2 linked regions of the Callithrix jacchus genome follow. The protein of the gene in region 1 interacts with the protein of each later gene in a biochemical or structural test. Links are inferred from orthologs where the notes say so. Each region holds a gene or a part of one and is shown on either strand. Other genes may lie near its edges.

The links.
Region 2: the proteins of CRY2 (region 1) and FBXL3 form a complex in vitro, tested with the Homo sapiens proteins (2 studies listed by BioGRID, with this or other methods). The link is inferred for Callithrix jacchus from reciprocal best matches to the Homo sapiens genes CRY2 and FBXL3.

The regions. Positions count from the first base shown.
Region 1 is NC_133511.1:110,876,728-110,881,908, reverse strand, and holds part of CRY2 (cryptochrome-2), read right to left. Parts: intron 1,486-5,181; coding exon 1,377-1,485; intron 1-1,376. UniProt on the Homo sapiens protein: Transcriptional repressor which forms a core component of the circadian clock.
Region 2 is NC_133502.1:38,296,290-38,300,695, forward strand, and holds part of FBXL3 (F-box/LRR-repeat protein 3), read left to right. Parts: intron 1-3,369; coding exon 3,370-4,013; 3' UTR 4,014-4,406. UniProt on the Homo sapiens protein: Substrate-recognition component of the SCF(FBXL3) E3 ubiquitin ligase complex involved in circadian rhythm function. Plays a key role in the maintenance of both the speed and the robustness of the circadian clock oscillation.

The sequences.
Region 1 (5,181 bases):
ATTACATCAGTGAATACCCATTGTAACCCGTGAACAATAATAACAATATTATTAAATGACATTTTCTCCAACAAGCCTTCTTGACCTCCTCCTTGAATATAATTCTTCTGTACCTTGTCTTTTTTCCACTGCAGGATGTATTACATGACAATGAAGCTGCCTGTCACTTGCCTGTTTCCCCCATTAGGTTGAACTCTCAAGAGCAGAAACCAAGCTGTCTCACTCATCATCATTACCCTTATACCTAGTATAAAGCCTAGTACCTAGCAAAATCTCAATCAAAATACATGAAATGACTGAATGGATGACCTAGCTAGATCTCTGGGCTATAACTGGGTTGGCCTCGGAGTTGCTGGGGGAAGAGAAAGGGCAATGTTGGGGAGAAGGGAGGCAAATGTATTTATATGGTATGGTGGGTAAGGACACAGCTCTCGGGTCAGAGAATCCACCGTTTATTAACTTCACAACCAATCATTGTTTCCTCACCTGTAAATGGGAATGGCAGTAGCTACCTCTCAGGCCTGCTGTGAGGAATAAGTGAGTTGATGTAAACAAGCACTGGGAACAGGCTTGACTCCCATGCAGCCCTTAATGAATGGGGGCAATTACCAGCACAGTGTGATTTTTGCATGTATGCGCAATTATGTGTAGGGGTGTGGGGAGGGGAACTGAAGGATGATGTATTTACTAAGCCGTCTGCCCTGACATGACTTTTGTCTCAAAGTTAGGGTGGAGAGGGGCATGAAAATCATGGTGTGCTGCTGAGGAGGAAGGCAGACTGTCCCAGAGCCCTCTGTCCATGAGTTTTTGTGCTTCTTTGTGGGCCTTAGAATATGCTTTTTAAAGGAACTGAGGGAAAAGTGGACTGGCCCCCTGATACTGCCACCCTATGTGGCACCAAAATGAAGATTTCTATCAACCATTTACCCCATGGGAAACAAGGAAGCTTCCTCAGAAAGGCCGACTTTTCCCAATAAGCTGAGCAAAGCAAGATGGGAAATGCACCTTGCTAGACATGAAACCCCACTCTCAGTCTTGGCCTAGAAGGAACCCTAATAAATCTTGCTGGCTTCAGCCAAGAAAACATCGAAGGAAGTCAATGGCATCCAGGGTGGAATGACTTACCACATCCTATGTCTGGACTGAATTGGGAGCTTTCCAGCAAGACACTGGTTTCACAGAATTATTTTCCTTAACACAATTTCCATTCCAAGAGCAAGCTAACTGGCTGCCTTTGCTCCCAACTTCTCTAGAAGCAAGAGCCAGACCAGTCCTGATGTTTCCATTCCCTCAGTCGGAATATCATCTCATTCAGGCTGTGGGGAACCCTCAGAGACAGAATCTCACTGTCTTCTCTGGGGGCTCTACACGCTTACCTTGAACAGCCTTGGGAACACGTCGGCTGGCTGTCCCCGGACTACAAACAGGCGGGAGTTCAGTTTCCTTAAACTTGTGTCCAAATCTTCCAGAGACTGAAGTAGGAACCTGCAGAGTCCACAGAGGCCTTGTTAGTGAGAACATCACAAAGAGGGGCTCTCTTTCCTAACAAAGCAGGGAGAAACTGGTTCACTGTTTATGCCCAATGGGTAGCCTCATGGTCACTAGGGCTGGAGAGGCCTGGGTTCCAGCCCAGGAGTGGATCAGCGCTGTTCTGCTTCAAATCCTGGCCTTGCCACTTACTTTGTGGCTAAAGCTGTGTGACTTTAGGCGATAACCTAACCTCTTTGCCTGTTTTCTCATTGGCAATGTGAAGATAATGTTAGTATCCATCTCATAAAATTGCTAAGAAAAAATAGAATAATGTGTGAAAAAAATTTAGCACTGTGCCTGGCACACAGACATCATGAGATAAATGTGAGCTGTTCCGAGTGTGGTGTTTCTATGTGATCTAAGGCAAGTCACTTACTCCCTCGTAGTCTCTGCGGCTGGATTAAGTATCTGCCCCGCACAAGGTTGTTGTGAGACTCACTTGGGAACGGTCTGAAAAGCCAGTGCAATGCTGTGGTATGGAAGCACTAGGTCCTCTTAGCAGAGGATCAGACTGCCATAGCCAGGAAAATCCTACTTATTCTGGTAGAAAAGACTCCTTGCCTTTCTGCACGCATGCTCCAGGCTATGCATATTTCTGCTGCCACAGCCTCACAGCCTGCAATGCTTCCCCAGTCCCCATAGCTTTATTTGGCAGGTGGCTCACTCTCCAGGCCTCTCCAGGCTCTGGTAATCAGGTTCTCATCTGAAGAGGGAGAAGGTCTTAGAAGGTACTTCTCAATAGATATCCTCATGATTTTGTGGGGGTGGGAGTGGGGAAGACTACAGATAGGCAAGAACTTCAGCAGGAGACCTGGATCGCCAGGGGAAGGGGAAAGAAAATGAACATTTGCTGAGTGCCTTCACTGTTTTATACTTAAATTAACATTATAACCAGATAAACTATTCATGTGGCTCAAAATTCCAGTGACAAAGCAGTACACAATAAAAAGGTCTTCCCCTTCCTCCTTCCCCAGAGGCAAACAAGGTTATTAATGGGATTTCGGTTTTGTCATGCTTTTTAAGTGCATTCTCTCAACTGTTTTAAAGGGAAATAATACCAGCCTTATTTTGTAGATGAGGAAACTGAGACACTGAGAGGGGAATTAATTTGCCTAAGACCATAGCTGTTAAGTGACAAAGCTGGAATTCAGGAACCTGGGGTGGTCACTCTGAAACCCCCATTTTCCTCTCTGTGCCCTTTTTTTTGAGTTGGAGTCTCTTTCTGTCACCCAGGCTGGAGTGTAGTGGTGTGATCTCGGCTCACTGCAACCTCCACATCCCAGGTTCAAGCGATTCTCCTGCCTCAACCTCCCGAGTAGCTGGGGTTACAGGTATGTGCACCACACCCAATCAATTTTTAAAAAAATATTTTTGGGCTGGGCGTGGTGGCTCACGCCTGTAATCCCAGCACTTTGAGAGGCCGAGGCGGGTGGATCACGAGGTCAAGAGATCGAGACCATCCTGGTCAACATGCTGAAACCCCGTCTCTACTATAAATACAAAAATTAGCTGGGCATGGTGGTGCGTGCCTGTAATCCCAGCTACTCAGGAGGCTGAGGCAGGAGAATTGCCTGAACCCAGGAGGCAGAGGTTGCGGTGAGCCGAGATTGCGCCATTGCACTCCAGCCTGGGTAACAAGAGCAAAACTCCGTCTCAAAAAAAAAAAAAAAAAAAAAATTTTGGTAGAGACAGGGTTTGTTGGCTGGGCTGGTCTCGAACTCCTGACCTCAAATGATCCACCCAACTCAGACTTCCAAAGTGCTGGGATTACAGGGGTGAGCCACCATGCCGGGCTCTGTGCCTGATTTCTAAAGATTTCTAGTTGCATGCCAACTCTGCTCCAGGGGCTGAGATTCTGCAGTCCCTCAGGAGTTTGGAATCCCTTTCTCCAACAGCAATCTGACTACAGGTAATCCACTGACATTCTTATGTTCTTCCTCAGGAACCCACAGGTCAGCTGCATATTTCAGACTCCTCTGAGGCACCTGCTATCTACCCCCTGGGTCTCTCCCCATCCCCAGCATTCTTATTCTCAGTCAACAATTGGAATGGCCAGATTTTATCTTGAGCACAATGAAGCCCTGTACCTCCTCTGCAGCACGTCACAGTCACATTCCCTGACTACTGGAGGCTTACAGAGGCAGTGACTGTTCCCAGGCTGCCAACTAGAACCAGCCCCCACTGCTGCCTCTGACGTACACAACTTGACACACTCCCACAGCCAATGCCACAGACCCACATTCTAGCATGGGTGAGCCCTGGGCTCAGCTCAAAGCATCATGTTTGCAAAAGAGCATGCAGAAGACTCTCGGAGGGGTTGGGATGGAAGACTAATAGGCTGAATGCCGCTTTATGCAAACCAAAATCTCCACCTCTGTGAATTTCTGGTTTTGAAAAATTGAAAAAAAGGAACAGGAAACTGCAAGTACATCACTTGTGTTGGCCTCCCCCAAGCCTCACCATTCTTCTAGAAGGAAAAGAAGAGAAATCCATGTAAATGTTCTCTGGCCACCTGAAACCTGGACCCTGCCAGGTAGAATGCCTAGAGATTTTTAAATTCCAGGACACAGGGTCCTCCATCAGCAGCTCTGCATCCTTGCCATGCACTTTGGGGGCCTTTTCCCTTACAGTCCACCAGGCTGCATAGGACTTTGATTTGAAGCTATAAATAAGGTTGAAATGCACATGAAATCTGGGTTCCAGAACATGTAGCAATCTGCCTTCTATAGAACTTTATTTTTAGATCTCATTTACTAAAAGAGAGATTCCTTGCAGCATCTCTAAAGCACAGCTAATCCTATGAGAGCCCTTTTCTTCTTTCACAAGGGATGTTTATAGCAGGAAGCAGAAATGAGAGGCAGATAGAAGGCCTGCCTTTTATTTAGTTGCTGAACCCAGCAACTAAATAAAAATAATGATAACAATGGGAACGACTAACATTTAATAAACATTTACAATGACAGGCACCATTCTACTTGTTTCACATACATTATCTCATTTATTCTCAAACAGCCCAATCCAGTAGGTACTATTATCATTTCCATTTTGCAGATGAAGGAACTGAGGCATACAGAGATTAGGAACTTGCCCAACATCATACACCTAATAAGTGGCCAGAATTCAAACCCAGGCAATCTGTCAGGCTTAACATGTTCGTTTTCAGCCAGCCACTGCCTCTCAACAGAGCACCGAGGCTGTGCTGCCGTTGGCTCAGCCATCAGGGAGCACCACCGGCCAACTCAAAGGCTAACAACACCTCTGCTGCCAGATTTTTCCTCCTCTGAGTGCGGTCTGACAATCAGCAGCACTGGCTGTGAAACACCGAGGAGTTGGTTGAAATGCAGAATCTCAGGCTCCAACCCAGACCTCCAAAATTAGAATCTGTATTTTAGCAAGATTCCCTGGCGATTCACTTGCACATTAAAGTTTCACAGGCACTGCTCTAGAAAACTTAACTTTACTTCTAGCCTCTGTTTACAAGTTGCCTTTCTTTGCTTCTAATTTGTTTCTACTAAATTTTTTCTCTTGGAAAAGAAATATTTCTATCTCCTCTTTGGGCCGCTAGAAATGCTCTGCTTCTTCCAACTTCCCTCTGGAAGGGAGGGCTCAGAACAGTGACCATACGGGATGCAATAGGTGGAGATGTGGGGA
Region 2 (4,406 bases), on another chromosome or scaffold:
AAGTCACATATAGCAGTTTGCTTGTATTAATTTCTTCTTCAGGGTACATTCTTAAGAAGTGGATGTCCTAGGACAGAGTCCAAATGTTTTTGTGCTTCTTGTCATGTTGCTTTTTTCCCAAATGAGTTGATCTGAGAAAATTAATCAATGATTAGTGCCACCACTAATCATCAGTTTAGTAGCAGCTTTACTGTCATATAATTCACAATTCTCATTTAAAATGTATAACTTACTTTTAGTGTATTGATAAAGTAGTGCACACATCACCACAATTTTAGAACACTTTTATTATCCTAAAAAGAAATCACATACCTCTTAGCTGTTGCCCCCAAAACCTCCATCCCAACCATCCCTAGGCAACCACTAATCTATTTTGTGTCTCTATAGATTTGCCTATTCTGGACATTTCATATAAATGGAAATCTACCTTTTGACTATTATGAAAAACGTTGCTGTACACATTTATGTACAAGTTTTGTGTGGACATATGGTTTAATTTCTCTTAGGTATATACCTAGTGATCATATAGTAACTGCCTGTTTGAGGAAATGCCAGGCTGTTTTCCAAAGCTGCAGTGTACCACTTTACATATCCACTAGCAGTGTCTTCTAACACTTACTTGTCTTTTTGATTGTAGCCATCCTAGGGGGTGTAAACTCATTGCAGTTTTGAGTTATTTTATTTTATTTTTGAGACGGAGTTTCACTTTGGTGGGTTACCCAGGCTGGAGTGCAATGGCGCGATCTTGGCTCACCGCAACCTCTGCCTCCTGGGTTCAGGCAATTCTCCTGCCTCAGCCTCCTGAGTAGCTGGGATTACAGGCATGTGCCACCATGCCCAGCTAATTTTTTGTATTTTTAGTAGAGACGGGGTTTCACCATGTTGACCAGGATGGTCTTGATCTCTTGACCTCGTGATCCACCCGCCTCGGCCTCCCAAAGTGCTGGGATTACAGGCTTGAGCCACCCTGCCCAGCTGAGTTATATTTTGTTGATGACTAAAGGTGTTGAATATCTTTTTTTTGCTGAGACAGGGTCTCACTCTGTCACCCAGGCTGGAGTGCAGTGGCACAATCTTGGCCCACTGCAACCTCCACCTCCCAGGAGGAGGTTCAGGGGCTTGTCCTGCCTCAGTCTCCTAAGTAGCTGGAATCACAAGCACCTGCCACCACACCTGGCTAATTTTTGTATTTTTAATAGAGATGAGGTTTCACCACATTGGCCAGGCTGGTCTTGAACTCCTTACATCAGGTGATCCAACCGCCTAGGCTTCCCAAAGTGCCAGAGTTACAAGTGTGAGCCACCACGCCCAGCCCCTTTGCCTTTTTTCCAGTTGGGGTTTTTCTCTTAATTTATTGAGTTGTAATAATGCTCTGGTTTTATTTTACCTTTGTCACTGTATTATGTTTTTAAACACTTGGAACTGTATATTAGTTTTCTTTTTGCTGCATAACTGATAGCTATACACAAAGCAGCTTAAACATTTTATTCACTCCACTCTTCTGTACATTATAGCTGTAGGTAGGGCTCAAGTGGCTTCTCTGCTTACAGTCTTAAAAGGCTGAGAGGAATGTGTCAGGAAGGTGGGCTCTTCTTATCTGGAGGTTCTGGAGAAGAACCACTTCCACATTCATTCAAGTTACTGGCTGAATTCAGTTCCCTGTAATTGTAGGACTGACATCCAGTTTCCTTATTGGCTGTCAGCAAGAGGTTGTTTGGGGGTCTCTCTGCTCTTAGAGGCTGCTTCTGTTTTTCTTTTTTGGCTCTGTCTAGCTTAGAGCCAGCAATAACATGTTGAGTCCCCTTTGCATTTTGAATCTCTGACTTCCTCTTCTCCAGTCAACCAGATAAAACTGCTTAAAAAGGGGCTTATGTGATTAGACTAGGACCACCCAGATAATCTTTCATTTATGGTCAACTGTGCTGTATATCACAGTCATGGGCATGATATCTTATGGAATTCACAGATGCTAGGCATTAGGGTATGGAATCTTGAAGGCCATTTTGCGAATTACACCTGCCACAACTGCTTTTGTAGTTATTAAATGATACTCCAAAGTTTCTTTTATTTGCATTGTTGGTTACCATTTCCCATGTGTTTGTTCTTCTTTTATATTTAAGCTTTTTGAGATTGCAAAGAACAGAGGTATGCTTAGGTTACCTTGAGTAATCAAGGGGTATTTCAAAGTATACAAGATAGCCAGGCATGGCGGTGTGTGCCTGTAATCCCAGCTACTCGGGAGGCTGAGGCAGGAGAATCACTTAAACCTGGGAGGTGGCTGTTGCAGTGAGCCAAGATCGCACCATTGTATTTTTGTATTTTATCCTGGGCGGCAGAGTGAGACTCCATCTCCAAACAAAAACAAAGTATATACCTACCTTGTGGAAAACAGAAACTTTGTGATTGCTGAATACTGAGACATTACTCCCTCTTTTGGTGACTCATTCCGGTGATTCAGTGATTCTCTTGTAACTCTATTGCCTATCTTTTCCCACTGTTATAAAGCTCTGGCTTATATGTGGGCCTCTGTCTTGTCACTTCTTAAGCAGTACTTAAGTGCATGGACATAAGAATCACTTAGCCTGTGTTTGTATTGCAGCTTTGCTATTTTTAGCTAGCTGTCTCCACTTCAAGTTAGAAAAATAATACTTTTTCAGATTTTTTAAATTATTTGTGGGATAACCTCTAGTACCTGGCATATTATGCTTGCAACAATAAATAGTAGATGAAAATATGATGTATGCTTTTTTGTTCCTATTCCTGTTTCTAAACATAAGAAAGAAATTGATTAAGTGGGTTACTTTTACCAGATAATATAAGGTGCCTCTTTGGGGCAGAATTATATTGGCCGGGCATGGTGGCTCAGTATGTAATCCCAGCACTTTGGGAGGCCAAGGCAGAGTCAACAGAATTGAGTAATTATTTTTGACATGTTTATTTAGTGTTATCTTGGTATTTTTTCTTAGAAATTTAATATTAGGGTTTGAACTTCAAAAAATGTCCTTTGGCCTCCATTGCAGTGATCATGTAATTATTTAACCTATAAGTTTAGTGTTAGTAATAATTTTTTAAAAATCTGGCACTGTGCATTACTGAAATGCACTAACCTTAGTGATGGTATATTTTTTAAGTGACAGAGTTCATTATTGTCTGAGTCGATAAGTTTTATTTTTTTTTAATAGATGATGGGATTTAGAAAATGTGTGTGACTTCCTAATTCAACTATACAAATAAATTTTAAATTATATAGTTTTGTGGCAAGGGAACTGTGACAAACTTTGTGGAACATGTACTTGATCCAATTTTTGAACAGATAAACTTTTACAAAAACTTGCAAATAATTAGTTTTTTTCCTTTCTTTCTTTCAAGGTATCCTTTGTGTGGCTGATCAGTGCCATGGCTTAAGGGAACTAGCCCTGAACTACCACTTACTAAGTGATGAGTTGTTACTTGCTTTGTCTTCTGAAAAACATGTTCGATTAGAACATTTGCGTATTGATGTAGTCAGTGAGAATCCTGGACAGACACATTTCCATACTATTCAGAAGAGCAGCTGGGATGCTTTCATCAGACATTCACCCAAAGTGAACTTGGTGATGTATTTTTTTTTATATGAAGAAGAATTTGACCCATTCTTTCGCTATGAAATACCTGCCACCCATTTGTACTTTGGGAGATCAGTAAGTAAAGATGTGCTTGGCCGTGTGGGAATGACATGCCCTAGACTAGTTGAACTAGTAGTGTGTGCAAATGGATTACGGCCACTTGATGAAGAGTTAATTCGCATTGCAGAACGTTGCAAAAATTTGTCAGCTATTGGACTAGGGGAATGTGAAGTCTCATGTAGTGCCTTTGTTGAGTTTGTGAAGATGTGTGGTGGCCGCCTATCTCAATTATCTATTATGGAAGAAGTATTAATTCCTGACCAAAAGTATAGTTTGGAGCAGATTCACTGGGAAGTGTCCAAGCATCTTGGTAGGGTGTGGTTTCCTGACATGATGCCCACTTGGTAAAGACTGCATGATGTAGGGCATGATGAATAGCACCTTAATTTCAAGCAAATGTATTATAATAAAAGTTTTATTTGCTGTAGTTCTGATATAATTCTATTTTGTGGCACAGAAATTTGATATCTTCAGTCAGTATATATAAAGATTGTTTATTGGAAGACCCTTGAATGAATTTTGGTCAGAAAACTTTGTTTCCTTAGCCTAATAGCAATCATATCTACGAATATTTTTTTAAAATGTGGTTCAGATGTGAAAGTAATAACCAGTTATACATATTAAACAGTTTACAGTCTAAAGGAAACAAAACCTATGTAATATCCAAGAAGTACTAATAGGTTTTCTGAAATGTTATGTTTTCTATGCATTTTTTAAAAAATGTAAACTTGATACTTTAGG